Sus scrofa: one gene and its partners. The protein of the gene in region 6 interacts with the protein of the main gene of each other region in a biochemical or structural test. Links are inferred from orthologs where the notes say so. Each region holds a gene or a part of one and is shown on either strand. Other genes may lie near its edges.

Region 1 (3,971 bases), on a different chromosome or scaffold from region 6:
ATACCATGCAAGAACTGTTTACACCTTTCAGTAAAAGGGCACCTCTACATTAAGGATATAATTGAGTAACTACAATTCATAAAGCACCTTGGAATTAAAGGCACTATAAATTTAAAATACTAGCATGGTATTAACTTAAAGCAAAGAACAATTTAAAATCACCTTACAGACCACGTGTATTGTAAACCAAATAAAAATTCAGTATGGAATCCACTTTTTTTTTTAAGTAATTTTCCTCTATTATGGAACCCGGATCTAAATGAACTGTTAAACACTTAGTCTAAAGGTATGCCAAACATTTCTTAAAGTCTTAACAAAGAATCAACCTTTTTTTTTTTTTTTTTAAACAAAATGAGGCCTAGGTTAAATATTTTATTTGGCTTCTCAAGACGGACTGAAAAGTTGGGCACCAGCTCCAGACCAATTCCTGGACGCACATCAAACACAGCCCTGTCATTTATCCAGTCAGTCAAAACAATCTTTTCCATCTAACTCTTTAATGTTTATGTCCTAAAAAGCTGCTAATTGAATCCAGCTCTTGAAATCTATTTGTTAAAATCTATACCATCTAATTTGTAAATGAACAAAAATGAAAAAATACACGTTAACTTTCCTGGCAAAACAGAAGAGAATCTACCATATGTAACCAAAAGGGAGAGGACAATGTTTTTAATATTTGAATGGTTTTCTCTTAAAATATGACATATGACAGAGACAAATTCAAAACAAAACGATTTTAAGAAACTGACAGTATCTCCAACTGTTTTTGCAATTAAGGGGATACAGTGTATTAAAAATTCCTCAGAAAAATCTAAAAATACAAAATCACTCTATAAATTAGCCCAGTATTCCACCTCCCTCCAAAAAATAAGTGTAATCTTTATCCTAACTTTACTCATGACTTTTTATAATGTATCATATGCAGTAAGGAAACCACAGAAAAACACTTTAAGATTAAGTCACACTAAAAACCTGAAACTCATTTTATTTGCAGAAAATCGAAATCCTCATTTTCTCCCTCATTTTCTATTGTGAATATAGCCTAGAAGGAATTAAATGGCCACCAGCCTATTTGATGCTTTTGGCACACCTGGAATCACAGGTTCTTTCCATGATCACGGGCACAAGACTAACTCCAGGGAGGAACAGCAGTAGATAAACTCTAAAGCAACAAAGATCCCTTATAAAGGTTTCCATTGACTCATAGGAAAATAAGGAAACTGAATGGGGGAAATGAAGGGGACAGGCATCCCGCAACCCAGGTTTTCCATTAAGAACCACTCAGTTAATAATTTTTTGTGGGTTTTCCCTAGGGAAAGCAAAACTGTCATGAAAGTAATGTATTTTAAAAATTGCAGCCAACATACAGTCAAGGCTAAATTTTCAAATACCTAATTCAGCTGCACGTTTTTATCTTCAAAGTTCAGCCAGTGGACTGGGATGTGACACACAAGCACTCAATTACAAAATTAGTCCATATAAATCTCAAAGTCTACTGTAGGCGAACATAATTAGTTTATTCTTACACACACCCCCACACACGTACACACAGATTCTCTAAAGAAAGCCATTTTTCTCATGACAAATCCGAATATCAACGTGGGTAATTTATTAACAGTGAATGTTGAAACTAGGAATAAATACACTGGTCTCTACTCTTTTCAAAGCCAAAACAATTTTTCCTTAAAATGGGGTAACATGACCATGTAAGAATATTAAAAAAAATAGCACTGTAAGCAAAACGTACCTGTAACGTTAAAGATTTAATACCCTTGGAATCATAAACACTTCGTAAGAAAAGCCTGCTATCTAGCAACCCTTCCATTCTTTTCCATTTAGAAAGGAAAGGGGTGCAGAGTTGGGAACGAGAAAAACTTTGCTTCGCTGAAGTTTATATGAGCACGTATATAGAAATGTATCCCCCCCAACCCGCAAAATGTGTTTTTAAAGCAGGTCTAGAGCTAGAAGTGAAACACAAGTTCTGCGGCCTACAAGGAACAACCCCAAGCATGTTACCCTACAATCAAACACTTCCAAAACACAGAGTGTACAATGCGCCCGAGTCGTCGGATCAGGCAGACACACCGGAAAAGTCAACCTCAGTCTCCTTCCCTTTCAAAGTCGTGCGTCTCAGGTGTGTGGCACCGGCTGCCGCCGCTGGCAGCAGAGAGGAAAGGTTTTGCAGGCGGGCATAAGTGGGCCAACAAGTTAACAACCAGGGAACACACACACACACCCTCCCGTTAAGCGCTCCATCTTTAAGGAGTGTTTACTGCGCGCAGCCAGCAGCCGGATTCAATAATCCCCGCCGCAGGAGCTCCTCATCCTCTCGACGACCCCAGCTGGGCAGGAGCCCGGGGGCTGCTCCCCGAGGCCCCGGGAGAGAGCCGAGTTTCTTCGCCACGGCTTTTCGACCTCAAAACCTCCCGGAATTCCAATCCGGGACACCCCCCCCCCCAACAAAAGACCCCCGAGTCACCCGTGGCTTTTTTAAGAATTTCCAAACAAGGGAGAGTGGTTTTGCAATTACTCTCCTGAACTAGGCCTTTCACGTCCCCGACCCCCAACTCACCGTTGATCGCGACCCTGGCCCCTCTCAAGGCCACAGGCACCCCCCGCCAGCTTGCTCACCCCACCGGTGCCCCAGCCCGGCTCCCGCCGCCCGCCCAACCCCCTCACCTGTCAGGCGCAGCTTGACGGGCCCGTTCCTCCGGCCCCCGGGGTTAGACATGTCCCCGGCGGCGGGGGCGGCGGCGGCGGGGCTACGGCCCCGACGCGGGGCCCGGAGCCGGCGGGCGGGGCGGGGGCGACGGCGAGGCGCGGCGCAGTCACCACAGCGGCCGGGGCTGGGGCCCGAGCAGCCGGCGCCGCGGCCGCCACGGCCGGAGGGTCCCGGATGTGCCGAGCGTCGTCGCCATGAGCCGCGGAGGGAGCGGGACGCCGAGCTCCCCCCTCCTCCCACTTCTCCTTCCTCCGCCCGGGCCGCACAACAAAGCGGTAGCCGCGGCCGGCCGCGCCGCCTCCGCCCGCACCCCGCCGCCTCCACGCAACCGCCTCCGCCTTTCCCTCCTCTCGGCTCCGCGAGGCCCAGGAGCCGACGGGGCTGATGGGCTGAGGCGGGCGGTGCTCGGCGGCGCCGGAGCGGGACTCGGGCTCGGCCGCTTCCTCCTCCACCCGCCCTCTTGTCTGAGGGAACCCGGTCCTGGGGCCGCCGCCGCCACTCGTCTGCTCGGGGGGGTGGGGGGGGGAGGAGAGGAGGAGACGAGAGGCGGGGCCAGCGGGGCAGGGCGGGGCCGGTGGGCGGGGCCTGTGCGGGCGCGCGCCGGGTGCCCGGGGCGCAGGGGCGCCAGGCCCGGTGTCGGCCTGGGCGCGGCGGTCCGGGCCGGTGTGCTTGGTTGCAGAAGATGCCACGCAGAACTTGAGGAAGGAGTAGACAAAGGAGCAGGGTGTTGGCGCGGAGCTCTGTGCCGCCAGGAGGGCCTTAGCGTTTGGCCCACTTAATAGAGAGAGCTTTTGTCCGTGCAATGCAGACTGCTTTTATAAGACGCCCACTGCGTGCAAGGGGCTCTCTGAGGCTGGGGCGAGCAAAGTTAGAACTAAATCCGCAGCCCTCTGGGTTGAACGTCGCTAGGGTGAGGGAAGAGACACACCGAGGGTTCCAGCAAATCCCCAGGGGTGTTTTGCAACTGATACCATAGCTGCCACCTTCATTCAGGACTCACCTGGTGAATGAGATCAGGTTACCAGCCTACTTGGGCTCTTTTTTCAGCTGTAGTGCAAGGATAGGAGGATGATAATGCCTTAAAGGGGTTATTAACAAGATAAGCCTTGGAGAACAATGTATGGAAAGCTTTCCTGCAGAACTGTATTTCGTTATCTCAGAAGGAGAAAATAAAAGCTGAAATAAAAAAGTGTACCTTACCCTTTGACCATGTAATTGCAATTGCACTCTTAGGAAGTTATTCTTGACA
Region 2 (4,151 bases), on a different chromosome or scaffold from region 6:
AATGAATCCAACTAGGAACCATGAGGTGGCGGATTCAATCCCTGGCCTTGCTCAGTGGGTTAAGGATCCGGCGTTGCTGTGAGCTGTGGTGTAGGTTGCAGACGGGGCTCGGATCCTGCGTTGCTGTGGCTCTGGCGTAGGCCGGGGGCTGCAGCTCTGATTCGACCCCTAGCCTGGGAACCTCCATATGCCGCGGGCGGGGCCCAAGAAATGGCAAAAAGACAAAAAACAACGAAAACAAAAAACAACGACTAGCATCCGTGAGGACAAAGGTTTTTATTTATCAACTTTTTAAATTTTTTTATTTTTATTTTTTGTCTTTTTGTCTTTTTAGGGCCACACCCACGGCATATGGAGGTTCCCAGGCTAGATAGGGGTCTAATGGGAGCTACTGCTGCTGGCCTACGCCACAGCCACAGCAACGCCAGATCTCAGCCATGTCTGTGACCTATAGCACAGCTCACGGCAACGCCGGATCCTTAACCCACTGAGCGAGGCCAGGGATCAAACACTCAACCTCATGGTTCCTAGTCGGATTCGTTTCCGCTGTGCCACGACAGAAACTCCATCAACGTTTTTAGAACAAGCCATGATTTTCTGTGCTTTACACATAGAACTCCTTAAATTCTCACAACAAACCTTACTAAAGAGATAAGATTATCATTCCACTTTTTACATGAAGAGACTAAGAAACGAAAAATGCAGTAAGAAGCATAGCGTTTCTTCATGCATTCCTTAAATATTGACTGAGCTCCCAGAACGCTCAACTTCCACGATCCGTACTTCCGGAGGGATCCCAGAGGAACCCCTCTTCAGTTCACAAGAACTCTGGGGTTATAGCAGTGCCCCTTCCCATCACTAATATTTCCCCTCCGGGCGCCCGAACTGACATTTGACTTGCAGTCATTTGCACAATGCTGACCTGGAGGACCAGGCCCTCGCCCCTCTCCAGGAAATCAGGGCTTCACAGAACCCACAGCAAGTCTTAATAACTCGCACATAACCTGCAGATTTTCCTCACTGCTTGGGAAAATAGCACGCGCTCCTCAGCACCGCCCTCTCTTCCGGAACGACGAAATGCAAGGTTCGGATTGGGCTAAGGCGGGCCACGCCTCCTCCTGTTCCCCAATCAATTCCCTCACTGGGTGCGCTCCCTCCTCCTCAGCTCCGTCCCACCGCCCCACGTTACGTCGCTCCCTCTTTCCTCCTCCGTTATCCCGGGGGCTGCGCTCGCGCGGCAAGCCCACCTCCCTTTGCCTCTCATTGGCTGCTCAGGTCCCGCGCGAGCGGGATCGCGCCCTTCGCCCCCGCCCCCAAAGCCGGGCCATGCCTCTCTCCCGTTTTCTCCAAGAGGCCGCGTGAGGAGGGCATCGGCTGCTTCTGGCGCGCGCAACGGTGCGCGCGCCCCCCGCGGACCACTCCCTTCGCCTCAGCGCGAGTAGACGCTGCGGCTGGCATCCCTTATCGCGCACGCGCAGTTGCCCACCCCGTTCCTTCTGCCTCGCGCTGCCTCGCGCCGCAGCCACCGCAGTAGCGGCATTTTCTTGGGGCGCACGCGCACTGCGCCCTGTGCGCCCGTTCCCTGGACCCGGCCGCTGCGGTAGCAGTGAGCCCCTCGGGCGCGTACGGGCTTTCACTTCTCCCCCACCCAGCGCGGGTTATTCCCTCGCGGCGCGCGCTCAGGGGCCGTTATCCCCCTGCAGAGGTCCCCGCACCACGCACGCGCAGTAGCGAGGGGGCACGCGCGCGGGAGCTGGGGCCGCAGGAAGGAGGTGCCGCTGCCGCCATTGCGAGGGAGGGAGGGAGCGAGCAAGCGAGGCTGGTCCGCCCTCCCCCTGGTTCCCGCCCCTCCCCCCTTCCCCTCCCCGCCCCCCGCCCCGAGGGAGAGCAGCGGAGCGGCGGGAGGAGGAGGTGGAGGAGGCGGAGGAGGGAGCCCGCGAGGGAGGGTCCGCCCGGCCCCCCGCCGCCGGAGCTGCCGCCGCCGCCGCCGCCGCCGCCGCTTCAGCCGCCGCTGGACGAGGAGCAACAGAACATGGCGCCGGGGCCGCCGTCGCCGCTCCCGGGAATCCGGAGGCCGGGGCCGCGCTGAGGACGTCCAGCTGGTGAGTGCGCGAGCTCGTGGGCCCCGGTGGCGAGGCCGGGCGCCGCCCCGTTGTGGGGTCCAGGGGAAGGCGGGGACCGCGGGGCCCGGAGCCCGCGAACAATGGAGGAGCCGGAGGGGGAGGGGAGGGAGCGGCCCCCCAGCCCCCCGGGCCCCGCCGCTTCGCGCTGTGGCCCGGCCCGCCGGGGCCCGCCTGCCCTTCGGACTTGCCCCTGCCCGCCTCAGCCCTGCTGTCGCCGCGTCTGCCCCCACCCTCCGACCCATTGGGATCTCTGTGTCTGCCTCGGCCTCCCCCTTCCCTCGGCCACTGCAGCCACTCCGCTCGCAATTCTGCGCCTCCCCTTTCCCTCTTCCTTCCCTCAGTAATGCCCCTCGCCCCTCCCGGACTCTGCAGTGCTCATGGGACCCACCTCCTCCGTGACCCTTCCGCATCCCTTAATTCTGGACCTTCACATTCTGGTTCGTGACCCTTCTGCCTTCTCCCGTTCCGCTCTCAGCACCCTGCCCCTGCCCCCTTCTTTGACCGGTCTGCTGTTACCCTCTCTTGCACCCCCTGGAGCTGTCCCTCTAGGAACTGCGGTTCCACCTCCTTGGAGATCCATCTGGGACCCCGTTTGTCTCGGCACTGCTGCCCCAGGTCTTCTCTTTGGACTTAATTCCATCTCCCTCTTGGGCCCTACTGTCTCCTCGCAAAATCTGTCCCACACCTCCCCCCCGGATACCCCTTTGGGCTCTCTGACCCCTGCCTCTCAGATGCACCTTGCCTGCCTCCTCCCTTAGTCAAAATGTGTCATTCACATCCTTTCCTCTCTTCCAGACTTTGCTGCCTCCCCTCTCTGCCCCTCGTTCAGTCTCAGATCTTGCTGTGCCCTCCAGCCTGCTTGCTTTCTGACTTTGCCTTCCGTGAAGCAGCCTCCTCCCCCTTCTCTGACCCTGCAGCTCTCATTTCTGCAATTCACTTCTCTGACCTTTCTCCCTAACTCAGCCTCTCTGCAGCCTCACGCCCTGCAGTCCTTTCTGCCCCGGTGTTGTCCTTGCCTGTTGCCTCTCCATCTCACCTCCTTATTGGCCCTCTTTTGAGCTGTTCCATTCAGTTGCCCCCTTTTCCTTTGACCTGTTTCCCCTTCAATTCTCTGCTTAAGACCTGCTTCCACCCTCTATCTCCAAGTCCTGTCCTCCACATTTTGGCTCTTCTTAGATTTGCCCTTTACCTTACTGAATTATTGGTAACTTCTCTCTGATCCATCACCCCCTCCCTTCCTGTTGTGCATCTCAGACCTGCCCCGATCCTTTTTGCCCCTGCTCTTTCATTTGTTCGCTTCTGCCTCATCCTCTCTATTTTCCTTCCAGCTCTACCCCTTTTGGAGCTGTCCACTTGTCTGCCTATTTTGGGGATCCATTTTAACTTTCCTGCTGCTGTCTCCTCTTGGAGTGGTCCTCTTTAACTCTGGTCATGTTGGTACTGCCTCGCACCTCTGTTGCTTCTAAATTCTAAGTTTTCCTACTGATCTCCCCCCACCATTTTGATTCCCCTCTCAACCTCCAGTCTCTCCTTTCTTGTATTTGTCCCCCTTTTTTTTGCCCTGCCCCTCTTACCTTTTTAAGTCTCCTTCCCCCAGCTCTGCCCCTTGTAGAGATGTTTTCCCAATCATTCCTACCTTTCATTTCACCCACCCCCACCCCAGCTCCCTCTTGGAACTGCCCAGTTTTTGGCTAGAGTCTCCCTCCTTTTTGCCATTCCTCTCTCAGTTCTGTTCTTCATTGCCTTGTTTCCTGCTGGGCTCCTTCTCTTCCCATTTAGTTCCTGTCAGACTTGCTTCTCCCACCTGCCCCCCTTGACTGCTTCTTCCCCCTGGGTGCTTCGCCTCTTCAGGCATGCCTTTCTCTGAACTCTGTCCCTCAGCTTTGGAGGGCAAGGGTCTGGGTTGGACCTAGGCTTCTCCAGACTCAGGTTTAGACTGCAGAGTCTCTCAGCGCCCTGACCCTGAGGGTTTTATCTCCAGGGATCCTGTGAGATCTCTGTAAATAGGTGGGGTTGGTTAATTGGTTA
Region 3 (3,500 bases), on a different chromosome or scaffold from region 6:
CTTGGGCCACCCCCCACAAGCACCCTCCCTGACCACCTGCCCAGACCCTGCCAGGGACAAGAGGGGCTTGAGGAGACAGGTGCCCAGAGAGAGGCTCCCTTTCAAGGACTCTTCTCCATTAATCCCCAGGCTTGCAGGATTTTGCAGGCTCTCTCGTTTTTTCTTGTTGTTTTTGTTTCTTTGTTTTTTGACTTTTCTGGGGCCGCATCCATGGCATATGGAGGTTCCCTGGCTAGGGGTTGAATCGGAGCTGTAGCTGCCAGACTTTGCCACAGCCACAGCAATGCGGGATCCGAGCCGTGTCTGTGACCTACACCACAGCTCACGGCAACGCCAGATCCTTAACCCACTGAGCAAGGCCAGGGATTGAACCCGAAACCTCATGGTTCCTAGTCAGATTCATTAGCCACTGAGCCACAACGGGAACTCCAAGTCTCTCTTTTTAACAATAAAGGAGGCTACTTGTCTCCACCATCTCATCACTTTGATAAAAGAGGGTACTGGCAGCCAGAAAATCAAGAACCTCAGTATGGAGCATTTGTGTTCCATTTGCCACGAACCTCTCTCTGTCCTCCCCTGAGCTTTGATTTCCCCTCTATCCTCCTGGCTAATGGGCCAAACCTTCCCAGTGGCCCGAGTTCCCCAGTCCCCCCACTGAAGGGGGGGACATCCACCTTCCTCCCCTCCCCACCCATCCTTAGGACCCAATTGAGCAAGTATCCCTCTCCTCAGGTGATGGCCAGCTTAGCTATACTAATTCATGATTCATCACAGTGAAATTAGTGACTAACTGATGTGGCACTGACGGCAGTGTGTTTGGCTGCCAGGGACTTGGGGTGTACTTCACATCCCACTCTGTGTGTGGGCCCTGTGTGTGGGCCCTCTGTGTGTGACCCATTGGGCAGGGCAGAGCCTTCAATGGTCCCCTCTCACAAGATAGAAAAGTCATAGTAGGAGCTGTCCCCATGCCTGCTGGCCCTTCCTTCAACTTTATGGAGCAGCAACTGAAGCTTTCCTCCTTCCCCTGGTGTCTTCCTGGGTGAGCTCTGGAGGGCTCCTGGCAGCCTCTTCTTGTGTCAGCCTTCCCGGCTGAGCTGGGATGGACACTCTGCCAGTGAGGGGCCCGGACCTTCTCGGCACTCAGCCTTGTGGGGCCAAGCAGGCTACTTTGCCACAAGCCAGTTTTCAAAATGACCAGTTTATCAAAAATGGCCAGTTCTCAGAATAATCAATTTTCCAAATATTTTCTCCCACGTTGTAGTTTTACCAGAGCCATCGCCTCAACCATTTCACTGCAGATTTGTCAGATCAGCAGAGTCTATGGTCAGGGTAGGCTGGGCTTCACATCTAAGAGGTGAGTCTGTTTAGAATGCACAGTCTAATTACGTGGATGGGTAGGCGTTCCCTTATTATGTTTTTTATTTCCCTTCCCAATCCCTACCTCGGATGAGGCAAACCCCAGGTACAGTGAACTGTTGTCAGTTACAATAAATTGGCCATTTAGCAGATTGGCCATTCGGTAAACTAGCTTGGAGGAAACTAGGTTTCCAGAAGCCAGGCAGCCCGCCTCATTAGATCACAGGCAGGGCTTTGCAGATTAGGGCTTTTGCATTACTAGCCCTCAGACTGCCAGCCTTTCACCAGACACACTGCTTTCCTGAGCTCAGCCCTAGCAATTCACTAGCACACCTCTGAGCAGCACACTGTGGTGGCAGGACGCCAAGGTGTCTTCCAGGCCCGTGGTAAGTCTTCATGAAGAAGCCAGCTTCAGGGCAGTCCATGTACACACTGCACTGCTACCCCCCATAAAGCCTCGCCTCCCCCCTTGCTCACCGCCGGCCTGTCTTCCCCAGCACCTGCGCCTCCTTGCGCCGCTGAAGCTCGCCCATGTAGCTGAGGATGCGGCTGTTGCACACCAGCAGGCTCTTGGTGGCCTCCAGAGCCTGCTCTCGCTGGGAGCAGGCTGCCAGCAGCTTACAGGCCCCTTCCCTCATCCGGATCTCATGGTCTAGCTTTCTCTGCAACTCTGTGTCCTAGCCGGAGTCGGGAGAAGGATGAGAAGGACATGTCAGTCAGGGGACAGGCTGGAGCACCCTTCAATCCCCAAGTGGGCTGTCACCTACTAGAAAGTGAAAGGAACGTGTTTAAGGCAAGAGTTGAGTCTCAGCTTCAGCTGCCCAGGATTAAGCAGAGAAGCATTGTAAAAAATATAGATGCCCTCTGGGAGTATAATTTTTTTCAGCCTCTTTCGAGTGCAATTTGGGAAAATCTGTGAAACCTACAAATTCACATGTCCTTTAATCCAGCTAGCCAATGTCTAGGAGTTTATCCTAAAGATATAGTTACACTTGTGGGCAGAACCATATTTATTGCAGCATCATTTTAAACACAATATTAAAAGTCCTTTGGAGTTCTCTTGTGGCACTGCATTGCCACTGCAGCAGTCTGGATCACTGCTGTGGCGCAGGTTTGCTCCCTGGCCTAGGAACTTCCACATGGTGCAGGTGCAGCCAAAAACATTAAAAATTAAATTAGAATGTTAAAAAGTCCTTCAATAGGGTATTGGTTAAATAAGTTATAGGCTGTCTATACCACAGAACATAGAATATTGCAGACATTAAAGAGTAAGGTAGATGTGCAAAAATGAAAAAATCTTCAAAATATATGAAGTGAGATAAAGTAGAACAGTATTATAGCATGCTACCATTTATGCAAAAAATAGATATAGATAGATATAGATATCTCCTTAGATATGCATAAAATAGTAGTAGTTGTAGCTCTGGGAGCCAGAAATGGAAAACCAATTTATGATACTTTGTATAATACTCTTCTTTACTATGGCCCTGTTAGAAATTGTTACCTTTTAAAAAATTAAATCTTCTGAGTTTAAAAAAAAAATCACCAGGCCTCACCTCAAACTAGCAGAATAAGAATCTCTAAGACAGGGGCATTTGCCTTTTTCGGAAAATTCTCCAAGGGACTCTGAGGTGCAACCCAGGCTGAGAATGACCACAGATAGTAAAGTCCATCCTGGTCTACCCCAAAGATTCGCAAGATGAGAGAGAACATCTAGTTGGGAAGGGGTCAGTGGAGAAGGAGCATACTACCTGCTGTGTTTGCTCATGCTGAACAGAATGCACTACACACCCCAAATCTGGGGACCTGCTGGCCCCCTTGAGTTTGGGAGGTGGGGACAGAGGCAAGGGATGGGGATGGGGAGGCAGGTGAAGCAGGAGGTCAGGAAGGAGGAGCTGAGCAGGCACTCAGCACAATGCCCAGCCTATGGTGTACATGAATGGTGGAGGTGTTTATTTTAACGACGCTATTTCAGCCCCAGTAGCATTCACTTAGTAACACTGGAGCCTCCCTCTGTGGTCCAAGTCTCCACATCTGGGAGGTGAGATATGCAGGCATTAATGGCTGCGCCTTAAGTGCCAGGTCATGGCACAAACACACTCACAGCAAACAGACCCTATTTGCTCCTGGATGAGGTGATGGGG
Region 4 (4,125 bases), on a different chromosome or scaffold from region 6:
CCAAAACTAAACCCCAAATTTCCTCTTCCTCCTCCCTTCCCTGCTATATCCCAACCTCTCTTCCCATCCCGCCATCCCATCCAGAAACCCGGAATTAACCTAGTCTCCTGCGCTGTCCTTCAAACCTCGAAATCAAGTCAAATCAATTCTACCCTCTCATTTCCTCAAGCTTCTCCCCTTCTCCCCATTCCCAGAACTGACTTAGTTCGTGTCTTGGCCCACGCCTGCCCAGCTTGCTACAACTGCTCTCTAACTGGCCCCCTTATTCCCGGTCTTCTTCCTCTCTGCGGCACACTCCACACACTGTGTCCTTCACACAGCCACCAGATGGCATTTCCCAAAGCAAGACGCTCCACTGTGCAATGCTGCTGTCAACCACGGTGCACAATGTGCCTGATACAACCCTAGCAAGGGCGTCGTTCACAGTTCACAGTTTTGCAGTGCACAACCTAGACAACGGTACATAGCGGCCTTGGTTACAACACTCTGGTGGCTCCTCCTGGCCCTACAAAGTAAAGCCCTCTAATATGCCTTACAAAGGGCCTGACCCAGCCTCTGTCTACCTCCCCAAAGTGATCTCTCTCCTGTATTTTCCACACTTTACATTCTAATCATTAAAGAAAGAAAGAAAAAGTTTCCCAAACATGTGATGCCATCCCCTTTCTCCTTGTTTTTGCGCATCTTATTTCCTTTGCCTGATTACCCCTCCCCACCACCCTCCATCCCTAGCCCCAGTCCACCTGGAAATGCATGCGCATCCTTGAAGATTCAAGTCACACATCACCTTCTCCCTGAAGTCTGCCCTTAGCTAGGGCCCTAAGTAGAGTTGCTCATCCTCGCTGCCCACGGCAGATGCTGCACAAGCAGGTGCAGTTAGCTTATTACAATGTAGCATGTCCTATAGGGAGCAGTGTCTAAACGGTCATTACCGAAACGATCTCAGAAAGTTCTGCACCACAGTGAAAAGCCTTGTACACATATTTCTTAAACAGATGAACCTTTTTTAGATACATGAAATCCTTTTTACACATAAAACTATCCCACTAGGGTGCGTGCCCTAACATCCTAAGCACAGACCACTTTCAGGCCACTCCGGCGGTCCTCCAGACCGTGCAGCTAAAAATGCTAAAAGGCAGAACAGTCCTGCAAGCTTGCTTAAAAATGGAACGCTGCACCCGGTGTCATTTGGCTGCTGTGCTGGGTCATAATGCTGAGGCGACAGGGGCCTGCCAACATGCAGGAGCCTTCAAAGGTATGGAAGCTGACACACCCGCACAACTTAGAGAAAGACAAGAAATCACTGGCGGTAGAAATGTGAACGCAGAGTGCGTAGCCTACCTAACAAGTTCCGTGCTAAAGCAGACATTTCTTGTCTGGAGCTTTACGTTTGTTTTGTTTTTGTTTTGAACTCTCAGGAAGATGCAGGAGCAAACACAAGACGCAGAGCCCTTGCCACACCCCCCTGAGCTGCACACGTTCCGACGAGCGAGGCGGCCGCAGCATCCCAGGGCCTTTCAAATGCTCAACACCTGAAGGAGCGTGCGCTGCGCCAGCCCACGCCCCTTCACGACGGATTACACCTGGAAACCAATCGCGCCCACCTTCAACCCCAAACGGGCAAGACCCGAACATCCAGACAGGCCGCAGCGGTGACACGCTGCGTTCTAAGCACAGGCACGGCAATGCCGGTACCTCGAAAACGCGTCTGAAAACCCCAGAGCTGCACCCTGTTCTCGGGTGGCTCCTGAGCCCCGGTCTGCATGGTCCCCTAGGGAGCTGTCTCCTCGGAGCCCAGAGCCTGCTGCACCAACCCCAAAGCTCTGCACCTCCCGCGAGGCAAACGTGTGCGCATCACCGCGGGCAAGTGACCGAGTCCACAGTACCCCGCGCACACCCCTCAACCAAACCACGGCAGTAGCAGTAAAGGACGTGTGGGTTTGTCGGCTCTTTTTGTTTGTCCCGAGAGACAACCCCAAACTTCTGCCTTTGGGGTTAGGACCCCAGGAGGCAGGAAACTCCTGGGCCCAGCTGGCAAGACACACCCGTCCTGGTGAAAAGTCCAAGCCGGCGGAGGCGCGGTTTCTCTACAACTTCTCCGACTGCAGTGCGGAGAGTCTCCGAACCCCAGCGCCTTTGGGGACTCGGTTTCCCCAAACGTCTCAACCCCACCCCACCCCCGCTTTTCCAGCCTGCGGGGAAGATTACGAGGGACGTGCACCCTCGGGAGGCCGGCTTCTGGTGGGCGGGATGCGGGCTTGGAAGACACCGTCTAGTGCCACCTCTGGCGACGCACCGAGGCGGGTGAGGAGGACAGCGGGGACCCGAAGCAGCCACGGCGGAGACGTCCTCACACCCCCTCCCGGACTTTCCCACAGTCCCCCCGCAGCGCGGCCCGCGGCCGGAGGGACAACTGGCGGGCGGGCTGGCCGTCGCGCTCGCGGCCCGAGGGCAGGCGAAGCGTGCTGGGCGGCCGGGCGCCTGGGGATGGAGCGCGGGAGGCGAGGGGCGCGCGAGCCTGGCGGGAGGCAGAGGCCAGCGGGCGGCGAGCGCCAGGAGGGAACTTACCTGCGACGAAGACCGCCTGCAGCAGGCAGAGGTAGCTCTTGCCGTACTTTTCGGAAATCCGCACGCGCTGCAGGGCCATGGCCATGTCCACCTGCAGAGGGATGGCCTGGGTGGTCGGCACCAACGCGCAGCCGTCCGGGTCCTGGGGAAGGCCCGGCGTCCTGCCGTCCGCCTCAGGGGTCCGCGGCTGCGGGGCCCCGGGCGCGTGCCGGGCGGCCGAGCCCAGGTGGGGCCGGGAGCCCGCCGCCGCCATCGTCTAGCGGGAGGCCGGGCCGGGCCCGCCCCCCCGGCCCGCCGCCGCCGCCGCCGCCGCCGAACTCCTCCCCGCGTCCGGCCCGGCGCCGCCGGGGGGTTCTGCCGCCCGCCCGCCCGCTCAGCCCGGCCGCGCCCGGAGGCCGGAGGGCGCGGGGCGCCCGGAGCCCGGGAACTTGCTCGGAGTCCGGGGCTCCGGCGGGGCGTTTCTGGCCCCGGCAGCCGCGAGGGCAACTCCCCCAGGGTGTGCACACACGCCCCCGCTTAGCTTCCCGGAGGCCCGGAGGCGGGGAGGTGGAGGAGGGACTCGGGCAGCCTAAAGGGAGAACCCCTGCAGAGACGCCCATTGTCAGCGGAGGGAAGGCCGGCCCCGGAGCGCACACGTGGTGGGAGGGGACGGCCCGGCCTCGCACTCCCATGGCAACTCGTGCTGGGCTCGGCGCTTCCCTGGCATCCAGCGAGCGCTGGCCGAGGCCGAGATTGGCCGCGCGCGGGAGCCAGGACGCTAGCCAGTGGCCCTGCGGGACTGCCGTTCTAGAAAGGGCTCAGGAACGCAGAGAGCGCGGGAAAATGGAAAGGCAAGGGGAGGCGACCCCTTCGAGAAGCCAAGTGGGAAAGGAGAGGAGCCAGAGCTCTTGCCTTGCCCCAGAGCCCCCAGGGATGGGGCCCGATGAAAGATGGGGCTCCGAAGTGTCTGGAAGGAAAGGAGTGAGCAGGCCCGGCAGGAGTGCTGCCCAGGAAGCGGCCACCTGAGGACAGGCCTGGGGACGTCCGCATAAAAAGTGCAAGTCTGGGAGTTCCCTTGTGGCGCCGCAGGTTACGGATCCCACGTTCTCACTGCAGCGTCTTGGGCCACTGCAGTGGTGCAGCTTTGATGGCTGGCCTGGAAACTTCCACAGGCCCCAGGGCGTGGCAAAAACAAAAACAAACCCTGCACGTCTGAAACCAAGTCAGTGCTATCGGGAGAGATTCGCCAGGATTTTGCTGCAATGCTTGCAGCCTTTAGCAGAGCTGCGAGTGCCACTTCTTTCTTTAATCCTCAGCCTTTTCAAAGTTTTCTAGTAAGACAGTGTTCAGATGTTACATAGGCCAGTCGTTCCACGTTGATCTTTCGACCGCTCTATGGAGAATCACTCATCTATACCTCCCGAGAGCCGGTGCAGGCAAGTGTAAAAGGCAAAAGTAAGCAGAGGAAGAAAACACATACATACACACTCACACACACCCCCCCTCCTCCTCCTCTAGCCAGTTCAAGCTCTGTCTGAATGGGTCCACAGACAGAATGTTTTCCAGCCCCCCTCTTGAATA
Region 5 (4,015 bases), on a different chromosome or scaffold from region 6:
GCGGCCGCTCCGGTCGATCAGCACCCAACCTGGTGAGGAGGGGAGAGGCAGAAGGAAGGATGGCTTTGCTGAAGGCCCTGGAGTTACTACATTTTAATGAAAAAAGGACTCCAGGAGTTCCCGTCATGGCGCAGTGGTTAACAAATCCGACTAGGAACCATGAGGTTGCGGGTTCGGTCCCCGCCCTTGCTCAGTGGGTTAAGGATCCGGCGTTGCCGTGAGCTGTGGTATAGGTCGCAGATGCGGCTCGGATCCCGAGTTGCTGTGGCTCTGGCGTAGGCTGGTGGCTACGGCTCCGATTCGACCCCTATCCTGGGAACCTCATATGCCATGGGAGCAGCCCAAGAAATAGTAAAAAGACAAAAAAAAAAAAAAAGGAAAGAAAAGAAAAAAGGACTCCAAAGCTACAAAATCTAAATGCTCATCTGTCTCAAGCCTCTGCCATATCCAAGAAAATGGCTTTATTTTTTTTTTGTCTTTTTTTTTTTTTTTTTTGGTATTTCTTTGGGCTGCTCCCGCGGCATATGGAAGTTCCCAGGCTAGAGGTCGAATCAGAGCTGTAGGGCCAGCCTACTCCAGAGCCACAGCAACGCGAGATCCGAGCCGCGTCTGCAACCTACACCACAGCTCACGGCAACACCGGATCCTTAACCCACTGAGCAAGGGCAGGGACCGAACCCGCAACCTCATGGTTCCTAGTCGGATTTGTTAACCACTGCGCCATGATGGGAACTCCAAGAAAATGCCTTTAAAACATCTCCAGTGAGATCTCCCACAGGCCCCTTTTCAACACATCCAGACACACAGAAGTAATTCCCTCCCACATCTGTTCTATACCTGGAGGGTTCTCACCAAGAGAAAGTTCCTCCGGATTACCGTATCAATAAACCTCTACCTCGTGTTACTTCTGATCATCCTATTGAATTAGAATGCTACCCCAGGGAGTTCCTGTTGTGGCGCAGTGGTAACAACCCAGCTGGTATGCATGAGGACTCGGGTTTGATCCCTGGCCTCACTCAGTGGGTCAAGGATCCAGTGTTGCCCTAAGCTGTGGTGTAGGTCGAAGACATGGCTCAGATCCTGCAGTGCTATGGTTGTGGCTGTGGCTGTGGCCAGCAACTACGGCTTCAATTCGACCCAACCTGGAACTTCCATATGCTGCACCTGCAGCTCTATAAAGACCAAAAAAAAAAGGGGGGGGGGAGTTCCCGTCGTGGCTCAGTAGCTAACGAACCAGGCTAGTATCATGAGGACTCCAGTTCGATCCCTGGCCTCGATCAGTGGGTTAAGGATCTGGCGTTGCTGTGAGCTGTGGTGTAGGTCAAAAACTTGGTTTGGATCCTGCATTGCTGAGGCTGTGGTGCCGGCGGGCAGTTATAGCTCTGACTGGACCCCTAGCCTGGGAACCTCCATATGCCACAGGTGCGGCCCTGAAAAGACAAAAAAAAGAATGCTACCCCACTCTCCACTACCATTTTAACCTTTGTATTCTTCATAGACCTCATTGCCATCTGGAATTACATGTTTCTGTCTTCGTTTTGGTATGTTTACTTGCTTATTGTCTCTCCCTACCCCCACAAAAAAGAAAACTCCATAAGGCTCATCTTAATCAGATTCATTTACCAAACTATCTCCTACACTAACTGGCATTTTGCCAATATTCATTGAACAATAAACTCTTCACCTGCAGATATTTGAAGACTGAGCTCTGCCTCCCCAATTTCAATTTTCCTGCTCTCACAATCCTTGTTAACCTCTTCTGAATCCCCCTCCCTGGACTTTTAAGGTTCCCCTTGAGCATATGGAGCCCGAACCTGACTGCGACACACTTTGAGAAGGTAAGGTTCGCCTGCCAGAGAGAACTGTCCACTCTCCACTCTGGCGTCCCTGGCAAACCCAAAGCAGCCCTCTCCTCTGACAGTCTGTTATTTACAGATAGATTTCTAGAGTGTAGGGACCTGTGTTAGGTCCTCCAACTCTCGGGGGTGGTTGCTGGCAGTGCTGAGGTAGAAGAAACTGATGAAGGTTGCCTGGAAGGGTGCTGTTGGCACCAGGGCTGCTTCCCGAGTCTTTTGAGCTGAGGAGGAAAGAGTGGAAGAGTCCGTGGGGAGCAGTAATGAAAATTTGGTCCTAACATGTTGAGAATTTGCTGGTTACTACTGCTGGGTGTAAAGACCGAGGGAGGAAGGGGATGAAGAATGAGAAAAGGGAGGTGCCATGGGATGTAGGGGATGGAAGAAGTGAGAATGAGTTGACTGGACGGCAAGAGAGAAGGGGCGTGAGAAGACTGGGCGAAGAAAGACTGGGAGAAAAGGGAGACGGGGATCTGGAGGAGGCAGGACAGTAAGCAAGGGCGGCTCGCGTACCTCCGGCGTCAGTGAGCACCTCCGCGCGGCCGCTGAACATGGCCTTGAGCATGGTGTCCTGTCCCGTGAGGGTGCGCAGCGTGGTGTAGTGCAGCGAACCGCCCACGTTTAGTTTCACATACTTGCTGTTCGGGGTCAGGGGCTTGAGACCGTAGGCGGCGGAGCCAGGCTCGAGACCCGCGGGCTTAGGAACTTCCAGGGACTGGGCCTCCGCCGCTGCGGGGCCAGACGCCTCGGCCGACATGCCTGGTGGCGGCGGCGGGCGACGATCCTTGGTTGTCTCCGCACCCTCCGGCCGCTCCCAGAGACCCCGGGACCCGAGCCCTTGGGCCGGACCGCTGGGCCCGCACGCCCCTAAGCCCCGCCGCTACTTAGTGACACTGGCCCTCTGGATCATCGCGCCGGAACCGCCCGGAAGCCGGGCGAGAACTGCGCAGGCGCGTCAAGGTCCCGCCCCCGACCTCGCGCGGCCGGGAGGGAGGAGCATGCGTGGTGGCGGTGGGCTGGCAGAGGGAGTCGAGCGCGGGCTGCGGGAGGGCGGGGCGCCGCGTGAGGTGTGTTCAGGTCGCCTGTCCGGGAGACTCGAAGTAGGGCTCTTGGCCACCTGCCTGTGTGGAAAACACTGCCCCCTTCGCGTATCTCCACTCTCAGGGTGCTTCATGGGCGTGAAGGGGAAGGGGCCCAGAGAGGCAAGGGGTTGGGGCACAGTTTCCCGCCTCCCGGCCCCGCGCATTTGACAGCTGCGAACGAAAGCCCCAAGGGGAGCTCTTAAGGGAGGCCAGACGGAGGTGGCCTCCCAGAGGAGGTGGCAGTAATGCTAGGTAGGGCATGCAGGATGTGAATAGATGAGGTCGTCCGTTGACGAGCGCTTCTCTGAGGAAGTGATACTGAGCTGAAGCTCAGAAGAGACGCCTATGTGGAGGCGGAGGGCAGAGAGTTCCAAGAAGAGCCCGGGGCAAATACAAAGACCCGTAAACCAGACACACTTGGCATATTTAACAGGCAGAAAGAAGGTCAGGGGTGGCTAGAGCAACCTGGACAAGGGTTTTAGAATCCCAGCCTATGTCGTGAGACACCCAACCTTGGAAGAAAGAAATAAGCTAGGAAAACGTTGCTGGTAAAGTGTGGCGAGAAGTGTTTGAATCTGATCTCATCTGCATTCTGTTGAGAGGCTGATACCTGGGACATTTAACAGTCGATCTGAATGTCTAGCAGGAGAATCTGCTGGAGGGAAAATGAAGCATGAAGCTGTAGTTCTGCCTGGCCATCAGTTCACCGGCAGTGTTACTTCTCTCTGGGCTTGTTTGGTTTCTTTTCTGCTGAGTGACGTGTGCAAATGTAAATGGCAGGGGCTAGGTAGGAATGTAAATGAGTGGAATGAACCAGTTACAAGGTATTAGGGAGTAACAGGGCCTGTGTTAGCCTGGAGAGCCCATGTTTTACCCAAAGGGCAATATTGTCAATTCTGATTTTTCAAGTGTAGCTGGTGAGAAAGAGAAAAGCAGCTCATGACAACTGGGACCCAGTTTTCACTATTCCTTCAGAAGCCTCTGTTGCTATGAGGGGGCCTGACACTATAAGCTAGGCTATGATGTTGCCCTGTTGAGCATAAACAATTTTATAGGACACCAGCTTCAGAAAAAACTCCT
Region 6 (3,500 bases):
TTCCCAATGTGAAATACATATGAATATGGCGGTAGTTCTCATCAAGCCCACCTGTCCCTTCTGCAGAAAGACCCAGGAGCTCCTCAGCCAATTGCCCTTCAAAGAAGGGCTTCTGGAATTTGTCGATATCACAGCTACCAGTGACACCAACGAGATTCAAGATCATCTCCAACAGCTCAAGGGAGCCAGAACAGTACCTTGGGTCTTTATTGGTAAAGCGTGTATAGGTGGATGCATGCACTGATCCAGTAAGTATGCACTAGAGAGGGGAGCTCTTGACCCGCCTGGAGCAAATTGGAGCTCTGAAATAGTTACAGAGCAGACCCAGGCTGCTGGAGTCTGATAGCCCCCTTGAGAGCTGGATGGCAGTGCAGATAATGACAGCGCTTCCTGGTGGATGGACACAGGGCTACCTTCACCCAGCTGCAACAACTGTTTACTTAAAATTCTGAAATGTGTTAACCCAAATAATTGGGGGGGGGAGTGGGATTTGGGGGGAAAAACCAGATTTTTCTTCTGACTCCATTATTAAAAGTGGATCAACTTGCCCCCCCCCCCAAGAGGCCTAATTCTCTACAGGCTGTATGAATAGCCTAACATGCAAAACAGTACCAATTGTTATGCAAAGTATACTCACCTGCTTTCCATCCACCTCGATATCTGCAACATAGTTTTCAAACACGGTAGGTACATATACCTCCGGGAATTGGTCCTTGCTAAAGACAATGAGCAAACAAGTCTTGCCACAGGCTCCATCACCAACAATCACCAGTTTCTTCCTGATGGCAGCCATTGCTGAAACATAAAATCAAAGTGTTGTCTAGAATGCACAAGAAGCCATAATAGTCTCAGGCCATGACAAATACTTTTCTGGCCATGTGGCACAAGCCTTTATTAACACATCAAAATACAAAATGCTGGAGTTCCTGCTGTGGCTCAATGGGATTGACAGTGTCTCTACTGCTCATGGGCTCAGGTTTGATTCCCAGCCTGGTGCAACGGGTTAAGGACATGGTGTTGCCACAGCTGTGGCGTAGACTCCAACTCCAGCTTGGATTGCCTGAGAACTCCATATGACACGGGGTGGCCGAAAAAGGGGGGAAAAAAAAGAAAATAAAACACCAGTATACCTTTCCACTTAGGACCAGTAAGTCATATCAAAAACCTATAACTAACATTATACTTAATGGTGAAAAGACTAAAAATTGTCCTGCAAGATGAGGAACAAGACAAGAATGTCCACTCTTTTTTTTTCTTGCCTTTTCTAAGGCTGTACCCATGGCATATGGAGGTTCCAGGCTAGGGGTCAAATCGGAGCTGTAGGCGCCAGCCAGAGCCACAGCAACGCAGGAGCCAAACCACGCCTGGGACTTACACCACAGCCCACAGCAACGCCAGATCCTTAACCCACCGAGCAAGGCCAGGGACTGAACCTGCAACCTCATGGTTCCTTGTTGGATTGTTAACCAATGAGCCATGACGGGAACTCCAAGAATGTCCACTCTTGACACTTCCATCCAACATAATATTAAAAGTTCTGGCAATTAGGCAAGAAAATGAAATAAAAGACATTCAGATCAGAAAAGAAGAAGTAAAATTATCTTAATTTGCAGGTGACATGATATTATACATGGGAAATCCTAAAGGATCCACTAAAAAACTATCGGAACTAATAAATTCAGCAAGGTTGCAGGATACAAAGTCATCACACAAAAAGCGGAGTTCCTATTGTGGCTCAGCAGTTAACGAACCCGACTAGTATCCAGGAGGATGCGGGTTTGATCCCTAGCCTTGTTCAGTGGGTTAAGGATCCAGCATTGCCCTGAGCTGTGATGCAGTTTGCAGAGATGGCTAGGATCCCACGCTGCTGTGGCACTGGTATAGGCCGGTGGCTACAGCTCTGATTGGGAACCTCCATATGCCACTAATGCAGCTCTAAAAAAACAAAACAAAACAAAACAAATCAATTGTATTTCTATACCCTAGCAATGAACAAATTGAGAATGAAATTAAGATTTTATTTACAATAACATCAAAAAGAATAAAATAAGAATAAACTAAGCACAAGAAGTACAAAACATACTCTGAAAACTTAAATACTGTTAAATGGGAATATCCTACAAATTAATCTACAGATTTAACACAATCACTATCAAAATCCCAGCTAGCTTCTTTGCAGACACTGACAAGTGATCAGAAAATATGCATGGAGGGAGTTCCCTGGTGGCTTAGCAGGTTAAGGATATGGCATTGTCACTGCTGTGGTTTGGGTTCGATTCCTGGTCCAGGAACTTCTGCATGCTGGGGGAACAGCCAAAAAAAAAAAAAAAAAAAAAAAAGAGAGAATGGAAATTCAATGGACTCAGAATGGCCAAAACCATCTTGAATAAGAGCAAAGTTGCAGGACTCACAATTCCTGATCTTAGAACTTACTCTAAAGCTACAGTAATCAAGAAAGTGTTGCACTGTTGTAAAGACAGACAGATATACAGCAGAAACTGGCACAACACTGTAAATCAACTATATTTTAATAATAATAATAATAAAAAAAAAGATATGAGCTGCCGCTGTGGCGCAGAGGAAATGAACCCAACTAGTATCCATGAGCATGCAGGTTCAATCCCTGGCCTTGCTTAGTGGGTTAGGATCCTGTGTTGCCATGAGTTGCTGTGCAGGTTGCAGATGTGGCTCGAATCCTGCATTTCTATGGCTGTGGCATAGGCCGGCAGCTGTAGCTCTGCTTTGATCTCTAACCTGAGAATTTCCATATGCTGCAGTGTGGCCCTAAAGAGACACTCTCCCCCAAAACAAAACGAAACAAAAAACACATAGATTGGAGTTCCCATCGTGGAGCAGTGGTTAATGAGCCCAACTAGGAACCATGAAGATTTCAGTTCAATCCCTGGTCTTGCTCAGTGGGTTAAGGATCCGGCGTTGCCGTCAGAGACGCAGCTTGGATCCCGCTAGATTAGACCCCTAGCCTGGGAACTTCCATATGCCGCGGGTGCGGCCCTAGAAAAGACAAACAAACAAAACACACAGATCAATTGAGTAGAACTGAAGAGTTTAGAAATAAGCCCTTGCATTCAGGGTCAAGTGATTTTCAACAAGGATGCCAAGACAATTCAATGGAGGAAGAAACAGCGTTTTTAACAAATGGTGCTCAGACAACTGACAACTGAATAGATACATGCAAAGAAAGGAAATTAGAGCTCACATCAGATGAAAACTAGCTCAAGATGGACTACACTCCCAAACATAGGAGCTAAAACTGCTGAATGTTCTTAAATTTAAAAAAACAGTAGGAGTTCTTGTCGTGGCTCAGTGGTTAACGAATCTGACTAGGAAACATGAGGTTGCGGGTTCAATACCTGGCCTCACTCAGTAGGTTAAGGATCCAGTGTTGCCATGAGCTGTGGTGTAGGTCACAAACGTGGCTTGGATCCCGAGTTGCCACAGCTGTGGCATAGGCCAGTGGATGCAGCTGTGACTGGACCCCT
Region 7 (4,089 bases), about 78 Mb from region 6:
TGTTTTCATGATGACACTTAGAACCTTGGGACGCAATATTATAGCCCACTGCTTCTCAATCAAAAGTGTTATAATTTCTAAATACAAGCTTGTAAGAGTGCATTGCTTGTATGTATAAAACTTATCAAATCATCTGTGACTAATAAAACTTGAGAAAGAAGGGGAGGAAAGGGTATTCAACCTTTCGGTAACATGCTTGTCTTATACTTGCCAAATTCCTCTTAGGCAATACTCTGTTCAGAGAGCCATGTGTTTAATTGTAAAAATCTGTCAGTCTCATAGGATTCAAAAGATATCAATCATTTTTGTCAACAAAGAAAAGAGTGAAGGCTATGTGACTCTTCTTAGGAAAAGATGTGCTCAAGAGGGAAAAAAATGCAGTCCAGGGAGGGCTGAGCAACTATAGGTTACAGGAAAACAAGAGTTCCAGACTATAATTTCATTCCTCCTCCTCTACTTTGGAGTCGAATATTATATTTTTCATTTCACATAGTTCCATGTGCTCAGTAAGATTATGCAACTCGGCCAGTCTCGGCCGTGCAATATCCACTAAATGTTTTATAGAGGCCATCAATATTAGCAGTTTGGGGTATGTGGAGGCCATAGCTTCCTTCGGCTTTGGCAGAATGGCAATGTTGTGTAATGAAGTTGGAGCTGGCCTATATTCAAAGCTATATTTCAAAAGGGCTGCTAGTCAAGCCACATGACAAGTGGTTCTTTTTTTCTTAGGACTTTATTCTAAGTGGCCATCAAAACTGCTGTATTACAACAGTTCCATGGGTGGAATGGGAATTTTCCATGTTTTACTCCTGATTTATTATTTTATACTAAGATTTCTGAATTATACCTTACTCGAGCTTTAAAGACATCAGGACACAAAGTTCAGTTTCCTGAGTTCTTGGTTGGGTGATCTTAGGCTGGTTACTTCACTTTTCTGCCTCAGTGTCCTTGCTTGTAAATTAGTGATACATCTACACCAGGGAGTTGGAAGAAAGCTTATAGATGACTTCGACAAAACTCCAACTCCTTAATTGTGTCACCTCAGGCAAGTTATTTCACTTTTTTTTTTTTTTTTAAATCTTAATCCCTACTTGTAAAATAGACCAATTGTGGTTACCAGCTACAATAGATTATGATTAGATACAAAGTTCCTACAGCAGTGCCTGGGCACTGGGCGGCTCAAGAGGACCCGATAATACAATAAAAATGCTAGCGAATATGCCCTCGGTTGACGCGGCTGGGTTATGAAACTTTGGGAGAAAAGAGAAACAGAAGCGGGGACCAGGAAAGAGGACCAGCTTCCGCGCCCTCCTGACCAGCGGGGCGACCAGCCTGCGCTGCGACTCTCCCGGACCGGCACCACCTCGCCCCACCCCTGCCAGGCCTGCGCGAATCCGGGCGGCGGCACAGCGCGGTCCCCAGTCAGGCCCTCCCTCCTTCCCTCCTCCCGCGCCTCCTGCGGTGCCAGCTGCGTCCGAGCCCCAAGAAACCGCCGCCGCCGTGCCGGTTCCTGCGGCCGCCCTCGCTCCACAGGTAGGAGCCGTGCCGTGGTCCGGGAGCCTGGATTCCCCCGCGCTCGCCCTCCGCCCCTCCTCCCGCCGGCCCCAGGCAGCTGGCTGCTCCCCGCCCAAGTTGGACGGGACCTTGGCAGTGGCGTTGGCGGCCGGCGCCAGCGCCGTGCGGCCTCGCAGGACCGGCTTCCCTAGCAGCCCCACGGGGTCTCCTGTGCAAGCCTTGGTCCCGGGTTCCTGCAGAGCGGACGCTGACAACTTCGGCGCGCACTTTTGTCAGGGCGAGCGGCTGCCTGGAGCGCAGAACCGTTCTGGCTCCAGGCCGAAGTTGGGGCGTGCTCTGCAGGATGCACCCACCCACCTCGCCGCCAGGGACCCCAGTGCCGTGTGTTGGATGCCTCTGTGTTACTTCGCGCGCCCGGGGTTAGCGTGCGCTGTGAAATGACCGGGATGGCGGGTGCGATGGGACTAGCATCCCAGACCAACCAGGAAGTGTTGCATTCCGAGGCTTAAAGCCCAGCCTGCCAGATGCACCGTCCTGGCGTGTGGCCACACAGCTGCTCGCGGGGGCGCCCACGAGATGATGACGCCAGGGTGGGGCTAGGGAAAGGAGGCAAGGAGCTGGGCGTGTGTAAAGAGATTTATTTTTCTCGCCCCATCTCAACGAATTTGTGGCTTAGGTCTGGGATCCAAGAGGGCGGTGCTCCAAGCCTCGGATAGGATTTTGTGACGCCCTTCGGAACTAACCCTTGTGGAATCAGCTCAGTACTACAGACACGCCTGTATTTGTTCCTTTTCCAAGTCTCAGATTATTGTCTTCTTTATTTCCTCTGTAAAGTAGTAAACGCAAGTAGATTTTTAAGGACGACAAGGGTTTCTACGTTTGCTTACCCATAGGTTTCTCCGCAGAATGAGGAATTCGCTAAACTTTACCTGCCGGGCCTGCCAATTAGTTTAGACCACCTTTTGAGTGCTTTCCCAGGGCTTTTGGGAGTCCAGGCACCTAGAGACCTTTGTGTTGGGTTTAATGGCTAGTTAATGGTAGTGCAATGAAAATGTAAGGCATGAAAAGAATCTACAGCTTGAGCTATGAACAGACACCACAATTACACACTGCCTATTTAAGAAAGAATTTCTTTCAGTATTCAATGTTTTATGATAACATATATAAAAGTGAATTGTACACAGGCTTTTAACTTGAATTTGCACTCAGCCTTTAAATGTCGTTTGGGGATCTTTTCCCTAATTGGTTGAGCTCCCAACCTGTCTTCTCAGGATCTGGTATAATTCACAATCCATATTAAAAAAATGTGAGTAGTTAAGGCTTTGAGGAAGATGTGTCTTTACCATGTTTGTCCATGATGTCAGACTATTTGTGGAACATGATGAGAAGTACCTGTAACGTTGGTTGATTGACTTATAACTAAGTAGTGGGGACTCTGTTCTTTGGAAGTTGTCTGATTACTAAATGTGTTTCTTAATTAAAAATTGTTATAAAATTCATTTAACTTTAATTATTACAGAGTTTTTAAAGTTATTTTATTTCATTTTATTTTTATTGTGATAAGATACATATAAAGTAAAAAAAGATACACATAATGTAAACTGCCATTTTAACCATTTTTTTGTATACAGTTCAGTGTCATTAAGTACTTTCACATTATTGTGCTACCATCAAGACTATCCCTCTACAAAACTCTTTTCATCTTTCTTTTGGATTTTAATAACATGTTATTGATAAGGATTGTGATGCAAGCTTTAGGTTTCTCATTAAGCAAGGTTTGAGTTCCTTTTCATAGCTTTAGAGAAATTCATTTTTAAAGAAGAGAAGTGGAAAGCTGTAGCCAGACTCTGTTTAGTAAATCTATTTATTTATTTAATTTTTTAATTACTCAAATGAATTTATCACATCTGTAGTTTATAATGATCATCACAGTCCAAAAAAAAGTAAATCTTTTTTAAAATTAAAGTACAGTTGATTTACAGTGTTTCTTCAATCTATTTAGTAAATTTAATCTCCATCAGGAAAGGATAAGCTTGTGAGCTATTTCCATTTGTAGGTAAAGCTACTGTGAAGTTTAGCCATCAAGTGGGCGAAACAAGTAAGAGAATTATTGTTGATAGTTTCATCTCCTTAGTATCTAAGAGAAAAATGAAATACTTTTGTCTTCTTAGCAGTGAGGTAGCGTGTTTCTAAATTATGCTTGAGCTTAGGTTGTCCACAGCTTTTTAGTAACCAAAAGCAGTTTTGATCAAGCTAGCGGCTACGTTGTAGCAATTTCCTTTCCACTCCAGGTGTTTACTAAAGATGTATGCCAGAGGAGCTAGCACATAAGATATAGCCCTTTAAATTGGCAGTTAGTCTGAGTCATGTAGATGAGGGGAGCTGGAGCTGTGAGAGCTGTGAGAGTTTTATGTTTATAATCCTATAAATTTTAGCACCGTGAAATAAAATGTAGTTTCTGCCACTGGTGTGAATGAATATTGTTGCAGAGTTAAAATGCAACAACTTGTAGGAGTTCCTGCTATGGCTCAGCCCGTTAAAGGATCTGGCCTTGTCTCTGTGGTGGTGAGGGTT

Evidence for each region.
Region 1: of the proteins of RHOA (region 6) and SMURF2, one has a biochemical effect on the other in vitro, tested with the Homo sapiens proteins (3 studies listed by BioGRID, with this or other methods). The link is inferred for Sus scrofa from reciprocal best matches to the Homo sapiens genes RHOA and SMURF2.
Region 2: the proteins of RHOA (region 6) and ARHGAP35 form a complex in vitro, tested with the Homo sapiens proteins (3 studies listed by BioGRID). The link is inferred for Sus scrofa from reciprocal best matches to the Homo sapiens genes RHOA and ARHGAP35.
Region 3: the proteins of RHOA (region 6) and RTKN form a complex in vitro, tested with the Homo sapiens proteins (8 studies listed by BioGRID). The link is inferred for Sus scrofa from reciprocal best matches to the Homo sapiens genes RHOA and RTKN.
Region 4: the proteins of RHOA (region 6) and MCF2 form a complex in vitro, tested with the Homo sapiens proteins (2 studies listed by BioGRID). The link is inferred for Sus scrofa from reciprocal best matches to the Homo sapiens genes RHOA and MCF2.
Region 5: of the proteins of RHOA (region 6) and KCTD13, one has a biochemical effect on the other in vitro, tested with the Homo sapiens proteins (2 studies listed by BioGRID, with this or other methods). The link is inferred for Sus scrofa from reciprocal best matches to the Homo sapiens genes RHOA and KCTD13.
Region 7: the proteins of RHOA (region 6) and PLD1 form a complex in vitro, tested with the Homo sapiens proteins (2 studies listed by BioGRID, with this or other methods). The link is inferred for Sus scrofa from reciprocal best matches to the Homo sapiens genes RHOA and PLD1.

Annotation. Positions count from the first base shown.
Region 1 is NC_010454.4:14,367,512-14,371,482, reverse strand, and holds the start of SMURF2 (E3 ubiquitin-protein ligase SMURF2), read right to left. Parts: upstream 2,801-3,971; 5' UTR 2,732-2,800; coding exon 2,680-2,731; intron 1-2,679. UniProt on the Homo sapiens protein: E3 ubiquitin-protein ligase which accepts ubiquitin from an E2 ubiquitin-conjugating enzyme in the form of a thioester and then directly transfers the ubiquitin to targeted substrates.
Region 2 is NC_010448.4:52,710,112-52,714,262, forward strand, and holds the start of ARHGAP35 (rho GTPase-activating protein 35), read left to right. Parts: upstream 1-1,351; 5' UTR 1,352-2,102; intron 2,103-4,151.
Region 3 is NC_010445.4:68,605,060-68,608,559, reverse strand, and holds part of RTKN (rhotekin), read right to left. Parts: intron 2,034-3,500; coding exon 1,834-2,033; intron 1-1,833. UniProt on the Homo sapiens protein: Mediates Rho signaling to activate NF-kappa-B and may confer increased resistance to apoptosis to cells in gastric tumorigenesis. May play a novel role in the organization of septin structures.
Region 4 is NC_010461.5:114,353,305-114,357,429, forward strand, and holds the start of MCF2 (proto-oncogene DBL), read right to left. Parts: upstream 2,801-4,125; 5' UTR 2,651-2,800; coding exon 2,566-2,650; intron 1-2,565. UniProt on the Homo sapiens protein: Guanine nucleotide exchange factor (GEF) that modulates the Rho family of GTPases. Promotes the conversion of some member of the Rho family GTPase from the GDP-bound to the GTP-bound form. Isoform 1 exhibits no activity toward RHOA, RAC1 or CDC42.
Region 5 is NC_010445.4:18,138,790-18,142,804, forward strand, and holds the start of KCTD13 (BTB/POZ domain-containing adapter for CUL3-mediated RhoA degradation protein 1), read right to left. Parts: upstream 2,801-4,015; 5' UTR 2,611-2,800; coding exon 2,367-2,610; intron 30-2,366; coding exon 1-29. UniProt on the Homo sapiens protein: Substrate-specific adapter of a BCR (BTB-CUL3-RBX1) E3 ubiquitin-protein ligase complex required for synaptic transmission.
Region 6 is NC_010455.5:31,928,708-31,932,207, forward strand, and holds part of RHOA (transforming protein RhoA), read right to left. Parts: intron 3,388-3,500; exon of another isoform or gene 3,372-3,387; intron 796-3,371; 5' UTR 794-795; coding exon 638-793; intron 1-637. UniProt on the Homo sapiens protein: Small GTPase which cycles between an active GTP-bound and an inactive GDP-bound state.
Region 7 is NC_010455.5:110,373,520-110,377,608, reverse strand, and holds the start of PLD1 (phospholipase D1), read left to right. Parts: upstream 1-1,289; 5' UTR 1,290-1,533; intron 1,534-4,089. UniProt on the Homo sapiens protein: Function as phospholipase selective for phosphatidylcholine. Implicated as a critical step in numerous cellular pathways, including signal transduction, membrane trafficking, and the regulation of mitosis.